Linked DNA regions of Ovis aries. The protein of the gene in region 2 interacts with the protein of the main gene of each other region in a biochemical or structural test. Links are inferred from orthologs where the notes say so. Each region holds a gene or a part of one and is shown on either strand. Other genes may lie near its edges.

Evidence for each region.
Region 1: the proteins of RLIM (region 2) and LHX3 form a complex in vitro, tested with the Homo sapiens proteins (2 studies listed by BioGRID). The link is inferred for Ovis aries from reciprocal best matches to the Homo sapiens genes RLIM and LHX3.

Annotation. Positions count from the first base shown.
Region 1 is NC_056056.1:3,245,662-3,250,170, reverse strand, and holds the start of LHX3 (LIM/homeobox protein Lhx3), read right to left. Parts: upstream 2,880-4,509; 5' UTR 2,816-2,879; coding exon 2,722-2,815; intron 547-2,721; coding exon 375-546; intron 1-374. UniProt on the Homo sapiens protein: Transcription factor.
Region 2 is NC_056080.1:66,779,734-66,783,965, reverse strand, and holds the start of RLIM (E3 ubiquitin-protein ligase RLIM), read left to right. Parts: upstream 1-1,158; 5' UTR 1,159-1,369; exon of another isoform or gene 1,370-1,589; intron 1,590-1,897; 5' UTR 1,898-2,345; intron 2,346-3,175; 5' UTR 3,176-3,238; intron 3,239-3,623; 5' UTR 3,624-3,737; intron 3,738-4,232. UniProt on the Homo sapiens protein: E3 ubiquitin-protein ligase.

The DNA.
Region 1 (4,509 bases), on a different chromosome or scaffold from region 2:
ATTCGGAAGGGCAGGGCCCTGGCCACCGGGCCGACCTGCAAACCCATGAGTCCTCTGCCGGGTAGGAGCCCCATCCCCACCATTAAGCACGAATACAAGGCCAACACAAAGAGGGAGCACGTCCAATAGAGGTTTACGAACTTGGGATTATCATTTTAACGACTGCTTCAACGATTCACAAAATTAATTACTTTAAAAGATTGTTAGTGGGCCAGCCCAGCCGCCAACAGAGAGGCCCTGGGGTGCCCTGTTTGGGGAACAGGAGGGGTGTGGAGACGGGGGGTGGTTTCAGGGCTCCAGGCTTGGTTACGCAAAGGCCCCGGGGGTCCCCCTGGGTGCGCCACCCCTCCCTCCCAGGCAGCTGGCGGGCTCACTTGAAGAAGTCGTCCTTGCAGTACACACTCTCCCCACGGCTGAAGCAGCGCTCGGCCAGCGGCGCGTGGCAGTCACTGCACTTGAGGCACTTGCTGTGCCAGTGGCGGTCCAGAGCCTTGAGGATGAAGCGGTCCAGGATGTGCTGGTCGCAGCCGGCACACAGCGGGATCTCTGCAGGCGGGGAGGAGCCACCGCGCTCAGGGCCGCCGCACAGAGTCGAGGCCTCCCCATCGCACCCAGCTCCCAGGACCGGGCTGCCAGGAGGCCCCCTTCCCGGCACACCCTCGTCCCTGGCTGGCTTGGGTGGCCACCCAGCTCCCTGAGTTCAGGGAAAGTGTGGCTCGGAAGTCCGTGCCTGGCCCACAGCGGAAATCCAGGACAACTGAAGCTAGGCTTAGAAACATGCCCGGGGCAGATACCCTCAACTGCAAAACGTTTCCAGTGCACGAAGGACGAACTTTGAGCTCAAATGAAACCCTCGCCCCCGGGGGCTGTCTCAGAGGCTGGGCTGGAAACCAGGTCCTTACCATCACCAGAGGCCCGGCACACATGGGCCATGGGGCATCCACCACCCAATGGCCCTCTTTCCTCGCACAGTCAGGGGCCATGGTAGCCCGAGACTTGTGGCAGGTGTGGCTGCCCAGCCCCGTGGCCCTGTCCCCAGGCTACCAAAATGAATACTGATGCCCTGCCTGTCTTTGGGTGGCCCTGGGGAGTACTTGTGCATAGACTGGATGTATGGACGCTCTGTCCTCTTGCTCAAACATGGATGCCTGAGCACACACAGTAGGTATTTTGCCTTCCCCATAGAGACACTCGGGTTCTGCTCCCCTGGGACTGCAGGCCTCGGGGGGAACCAGGCTGGGAAAATGCAGGGCCTGCCTTTGAGAGCCACAGGTCCATGGGGGTGCTTTGCAGGGTGTTCAGGGCGTGAGGACAACCTGTTAATTTAGAAAAGGTCTCCCGAGGGCAGAGAGCCTTGAGCAGGAGCTGGAACCTACTCAAATATATCACCACCTCAGCACACTCACCTCGCTGACAGTGGACCCCCTCCAGCCCCAGGCCGGCCTGGCAGCCGGCGAAAGGGCCAGCGAGGGACCTTCCTTTGCTCCATGCTGAGAGAAACGGAATCAACCTCCCTCCTACAGCCCTGGGCACCACGAAGGACCGGGTCCCGCGTCGGGCAAAACCGCGGCCCTGGGTGCGGAGCCTGAGGATCTGCTGCCTGCCCTGGCCCTCCAACCCTGGTAGGCAATGGCAGGGCGGCGGGCGAGGACACCCGCCTTAGAGCTGGTCGCTGCACAGGCCCGCGCGGCGCGGATTCAGCACCGCGGCCCGGACAGCTCCTGGAGCGCGCTACCCGCGGAGCCCCGCGTCGAGCAAAATCCTCTCCCGCCGCGCCCCTCGCGCTCTCGCGAAGCCCTGGCGACCCGGGCCTTACGCTGCATGGCGACTCCAGCCTTGACGGGGTCTCCTACCCTCGGCGCTGGCGGGCCCAGCACAGCCTTGCGCTTGCCTGCCGGCCCGATCCCCTCCGGCTCTCTTGAGACGTTTCACGCAGAGCCCGCGCCCCTCCCTTCCTGTCTCTCCGCCCTCCCACCCCTTCCTCCCAGCTCCCGTGGCCACCCCTCCCAGGAACCGTCGGAAAATAAATAAATAAAGAAGTAGGAGACGGAGGAGACCCCCAAAGCCTGGATGTAACCCCTTTCCCACCTGCTCCCACCCCGCCACTGCCCACCCTTCCAGGGCCAGCTCCATCCCATCCTGTGGGTCCCGCCTGCTTGGAAGCTCGTGGAGGACCATCCCAGTTCACGGGGAAGCCAAGGCGCTGGGGGTTTTCCTGCAAGAGGACCAGCCCTGCCAATGGAGCAGGTGCATGTGAGCGCAGACACCAGGACCCTAGCTAAGGGAGTTCAGCCACCGGGGTCCAGCTCCATGCTGGCCCTTGTGTCTGACTTCGCCCGGAAAGTGTGGCGCGTCTGGGTGCAGGCAGCCTTCACGGAGATTCTCCTACCCCATCGACACTGGGACACACGTTTGCTCTCTGCACACTCTCCCTAAAGGAAGAGTATTTTCCAAACCAGTCCTGGGACCCAGAGGGCCCCCAGCCTGGGCGGCACCAGCGCCGCGACGAAACGCCCGACGACACAGCTCCAGGGGCCCAGAGGCGAGCCCGCTGCTGGGATGCTCAGGTAGGGACGCGCCGTGCTGGGGCCCTCGCACCCATTCCCTCCCACGCACCCTGGCTCCCGCCGCCTCCGTGGCCGGGCTGGGAAGGGAGCGAGGGCCGCTGAGTCTCCACGAGGTCCGCCCTCCCGGGCGCAGCCGCTCGGCCGGGGCACCCACCTCGGCGCAGGTCTTCTCTCCGCGCCAGCAGCGCCAGCAGCAGGTCGCCGCCCGCCGACTCCCGGCCCGGGACCAGCTCCCCTCGCGCTTCCATGGGTCCCGCCGCCCGCCGCAGAGCCTCTCCGGTCCTGAACTTTCCGGGGGCTCGGCGAGACTACGGCCTCAATGGCCCGGGGCCGGCGTCTGCACGACTCCCGGCGCTGCTGGGCGCTGCGCCCGCGGGCCGCCCAGGGGCCCGGAGCCTCGGGCCGCGCGGAGGCGGAGCGGCGGGGGGGCGGGGCCGCGGGGCGGGGCGGGGCCGGGGTCGCGGAGACGCGCCGCTGGCGTCCGCGGACTCTGCGCGCCTTTGCCGGGAGAACTGCGGTGCGGGGAAACCGCCCCGAGTGCCGGGCCCAGGGATTAGGACGGGCAGGGGAGGAGCCGTGTCAGCGCTGCCCGAGAGCGCTTGACCAGGCCCCGAAGCTTCCTGCCCCGGCGCCGGCTCAGGGCTGAGGCCTGGGTTCCGGCGCGAAAGCCGGAGGGTAGCCTGCCGGTCAGGGAGGGAGCTGGATCCTACCGCCGCTGAGGCTCGGGGCCGAGAGGTTCCGAGCTGGGAGGCTTGGTCACAGTGCCTGGTGGCACGTGCGAGACCCAAGACCCAGAGAGGGTGAGTGTGGCGCCCACTGGCTCACAGGGAAGCCGCCAGGAGCGGACCCGACCTCAGACCTTCCTGCTCTGAGCAGCTTCTGGGACCCATCCTGGGCACTGCAGCCCAGGAGTGGGAGCGGGGAAGCAAGGGGAGTCTTCGGAGGGAACCCAGTGTCCTCGGCTCGACTCCACGATGCAGCCAAGACTCCAGGTCAGGAGGGACGGAGCTGGGAATGCCGGGATCCACTCTTTTCCTTCCACACCCTCTAGCACGGGAGGAAGCCCTGGCTCCCGTTTCCCCATATTCTGCCCTCCTCCCCCAGTCCAAATAGGTGAGCTTGCAGGAACCCACCACCCTAGCACGTAAAGACACACCTACCCCGGAGGGTGCCCATCACAGTCCAGGCCAACCCCCTGCGTCACCCACAGTCAGCCCACAGCACTGTGGGTCCTGGCAGTTCAGAGCATGGCAGGAGCAGGGGGGCCTCCAGAAAGTGCTGGGGGACTAGGGGTTGGTACCATCCTCCAGGAGGTTCCACCTGGGAGCCCTCAGTGATGCCCCATAGTCACCCTGCCTCTGCTTGGCCTCCGGTGGCCTGGTCTGTACACTTAACTTGCAGGCCAGTGTGGAAGGACCTGGGTAGGAGAAACACAGTCCCCTCTGAGCTCTGAGCAGACCCCACATCTCAGTTTGAGCAAAAGCCCCATGCAGGCAAAGTTAAGGGGCCCCTTCACTTTGTGCTCCGTTTGTTCCCCAGGACAAGACAAGGGCGTCCAGGCCAGGGAGCTGAGCGGGTGTTGGGTGCATAGGGGTGTCGGCCGTTGAGTGTCAGCTGCTGTGGAAGCCTGCCTGAGAGGGGCCATGTGTGGTCTGACTGGGGAAGGGGCGGGCGGGCCTATGCACTGGGCATCTGGCCGACTGGCCAACAATGCCTCCATTATTTCCCAACGTCCTTGTGACCGAATGGCCCTTGGGGAGTGCAGTTCGGGCAGGAGACCCGACCCAGGGCTCTCGGCACTGTGCAGTTGGGCTGGCTAGGAGGGGCAGGACTGGGCTGTGTGGGAGCTGAGAAGCGTGGGGTCTCCGGATTTTCTTGGCAGCCCTTTCTCTGCCCCATCACCTCACCACCAGACATGCCTGCGAGGTCCCTTCTGTCCTCC
Region 2 (4,232 bases):
TGTTGCTTGGTAGCTCATACTGTACCTTCTTTCACGCATTACTAAGAAAGGCCTTCCTTGGTGGTGGTGGTTTAGTCGCTAAGTCGTGTCTGACTCTTGGGACCCCGTGGACTGTAGCCCGCCAGGCTCCTCTGTCTGTGGGATTTTCCAGGCAAGGATACTATATTGGATTGCAATTTCCTTCTCCAGAGGATCTTCCTGACCCAGGAATCGACCCAGGTCTCCTGCATTGCAGAAAGATTATTTACCGACTGAGCTACAAGGGAAGCCCATGTGTTGTTTTTCTTAACTGTGAAAACGAGAGTTGTTGCTTGCTAGCTCGTACTGTACCTTCTTTCATGCATTACTATCTAAGAAAGGCCTTCCTTAACCGCCCTTAAATTCTAACGCTATCAGATTTTCCCACCCTTTTACAAACACCGCCCCTTCTCAGGAATTTCAGAATTACCGTCTGAGAGAGGCCACCTCGGACCACTCTTTTTAAAACTGCAATTCCCATTTGCCGCCACCGGGCTCTCTCCCACCCACCTTCCCTCGCCTTATTTTTCTCCCTAGCATTTATCATTAATTTTATGTACTATATATATATATATATATATATATATATATATATATATATATATCTACTGTCCCTCCCCCCCAAGAATATAAAGATACACAACAACTGGGATTTTGGTCTGCTTTAATTTGCGCTGTATCCCCAACATCTATACTAGTGTCTGACACCTACAGTTGGCATTCGATAAATGTATTCGAATAAAAGTAGGATGCTGTATTAGCCGGTCCTGACTGTGTGAATCGACGTCAGGTTAGACTAATATCGCGTTTCTCACTCTCTGAAAAGGGCTTCCAGCAGTCATTCGGTGACGTCCTCCAGATTTCAAAATGGGAAAGGTTCTCACAGCTCTCAGAATTTCTCGCCACAATTCAAAATGGCGGAGGAGGGTGGGGCCTGTCACATGGTGGGCGGCACAGCAGCTTTCCTTTTCCAGGCCGCGGCCCGCCCTGCCGCGTCGTCAGCCGGCCACCTCCTCCTCTCACCGAGGGTTTTTCAAGGAATCGCTTGGGATTGGATAATCGGCTGGGACTGGATAATCGGCTGCGGCTGCGGGGCCAGGACACGGCATCATCACTTCCTGTTGTGGGCAGGCATTTCCTGTCGCTGCTTGGTAACAATGGGGAAGATAATGGCTGCCTGAGCAACGTCTCCGAGCAGGCGCTGGGCTAGAGGCGGGTCTCGACCAGCGACTCATCGGAGGCGGGCTTGAGAGCTGCGGCAGGGGAGGCGCGCAGGAGCCCCGGCGGCGGTGGCGGCGGCGGCGGCGGCGGCGGCCGAACCGACCGAGTCGGATCCCGACACCAAAACCGAGTAAGTGAAGCCTTGGGAAATGGATGGAGAGCGAGAGGAAGACAGCGAAGCCCCATCTGCTGCTTTCTCTCAAAATGGCCTGACTGGTGCATCGTGGCGGAGGCTCATCGCCGCCTCCGGACCCCAGGCACCGGTTGCTGCGGGGGGCTCCGTGGCGTAATCTCCGCTGCCATTTTAGCTGGGTGTATAGTCGACAGGCTTTTTGAAGAAGGGGAAGGAGGTAGGTAGTACTTCCTCTCCGTGGCCGCGCGAGCCGCAGCTGGGGCCCTCCAGAACCTTAAGAATTTGGGGGAGGCGATTTTCGAATGTTGGCCTCAGGCATGAGAATCTTTGATCGTCTTAGGTTTTCCTCTCCTCCCTGGAGACTTCCTTCGCCTCCTCCTCCTCCCCCTCTCTTTTACATGGCGGGCTTGGGTTTAGGAAATGGGGAAAAAAATCAGGCTGCTCTAAGTTAGATGCTGGGAACTCTTGGGCCTTTAGATTTCCCAGGATTTGCAAAACCCCATTTTGAGCCTTCTGCTTCTGCAGGGCACTATCAATTAGGCGCCCCCTGAGGCCACGATGACATCTTCCCGGAGGATCTAAGACAAATGTGGTTTACTCCTTTGCTTGAATAACCCTGGCGTATCCTTTGCCGGATACCACTGCACGGATTCCCCCCAAAAGGGAGGGAAAAGCCGTTGCGTGTTTGTTGTTTTTCCCTGGCTGAGGGTGGGAATTGGGCCAAATGATTTTGAAGTTAATTTCCGTTCAATCCGTGCACAACCCAACCCCTCCCCCCTCAAAAATGCCTAAGGGTCTCGGCTTCTGCGGGCGGTACCTGCCACGTACGCCATAGCTTTAGTAACTAGTATTAACCGGTTGGGCTTCTGCTTCCTGAATACTCCGTCCCTTTTTCCCTTATGCTGATTAATTTCAAGATGGAGGAGACAGCCACGTTCCTTCCCTAGACAGTTTCACCATACTTATTCCACAGGTTAGTCCGGGAATCTGAGGCCTAGCAGGCTTGTCTATTTAGGTCGTTCTTTCGTTTTGCAGAAAGAGGAAGCATTTATATTAGGTTGTCATTCAGGCTTAGCAAGGCCCCACAATAATTATTTTTTTGCTGGAAATAAGGAGCCCGCATTTCCTGAATCAGAATTAACCGCAGTGGCTTTGGATGATTGAAAGGAGGAAGAAATAAACTACTACTAATCATTTTTTTTTGAATTCTTGTCATTATTGAAGACAAAATACACTTATCACCCCATCAGGTACATTATGTCCGTCCTGGATGACTTGTGAGCAGGCTGGCACAGTTATCGCTGCCCCAGAATCAGTTTTCTAAGTTGTAGAAATAAAATGCCCAGGAAGACCAATCTAAATATTTTTAAAATTTTATTGTAATACTCTTCTCTTACTGAAAAAGTGTTTTTCTTTAGCCTAAGATGTCCTGATGATTTTTCATACTTTAGTTCCTGCCTTAGGCTAGTGTAACGTACCAAATAAGTTCTTGAAAGTAACTGTGAGAATCTGAAAATAATTACTGATCTGATGCGTAAAAGCCCATTTTAAGTAAGTTTATATTAAAAGGTAGATGGGCTGTTAGCCTTTAAAAGATATCTTCTATCTAACATATAAGATTGTTGGTTCCCTCTGACCTTCTTAGTCTCCCCAAATATCCTAATACTAATGTGGAATTAGGTTGAATTATGGTGGGTGTGTATCTAAAATACATAGGATATGTAATTTTTAGGATGTGTCTGTTTCAAAGAAAATGTCTTATCTTATAAAAGAGGAAGAATAATGGATTCTTTTTTTTTCTAGAGCAGAGAGTGAAGAAAACTAAAATCCAGTTTATTGTATACAATACTATGTCATAACAGTCAGGTAATTTTATTTTTTGTTGCGTCTCCTGATGATTTATGTGTAGAATGCATGTTTTAAAATATTTATTCTGTTTTGGGGTCCCTGTAATAAAATGGGCTTCTTTGATATATGTTAGTTGGTGTCGGGCATTCTTAATGGTCAGAATGGGTGTTTTTCACTGGGAATTCAAAGGGTAGTGTTTCTCAGTAGCTGGAACCTCATTAGTGCTCTGTCAATTTTCTTCTTTTAAAATAATGTCTGAAATTTACCAGTACCTGTATAGAATGGAAAGAACAAAATAGAAATTTGCTTCCTTTAATCACTGTTGGAATGGGATGAGTATAAATAAATAGTATTTAAATGTTTATTGAATAACTAAATGAACTAACAGTAGACTATATTACAGGAATCTAATCTCAAGTTATTTTGTGTGACATTTGATATTTTTGCTTCAAGATCCGAAAAGTCATAATATATAATACTCTAATTGATATCAACCTCTTTCATCATCGTTGTTAAGGTAACCACATAATTTATTGCCCTAGCTAGGATGCTTTTAAGAGAAAAAGGAACATTATTTTCCTGGACAACAGGTGGAAACCAGGGTTGTCCCATGCAAATTAGGATGGGTAATTAGCCCAAATTCATAATTAATCTGTATTGAATACTTATGTGCTAGGTCCTGTGCTTCACATGTGTGATTTTGTAATCCTTACAGCCAAGCTTCATGAGGATGTTACCTGTTTTACAGAGTAACTGAGACTCAGAGGAGAGATTAGATAATTTGTTCTCTATTAGATAATTTGTTCTCAAAAAGCTAGTAAGTGGTGGGAGCCCCCATTTTAACCCAGGTCTGTCTGATGCCAAAGTCAATAAACTTTTATGTCCTTAGACTTGTTATTAGAAATGCAAAGAAAATGAAAAGTTGTAATAAAAAAAATCTATAGGTTAAGTTGCATCTAAAACTTCTGTTAACACTTGAAGGAAATTTGCTTTATGAAGCAAGTGAGACTTA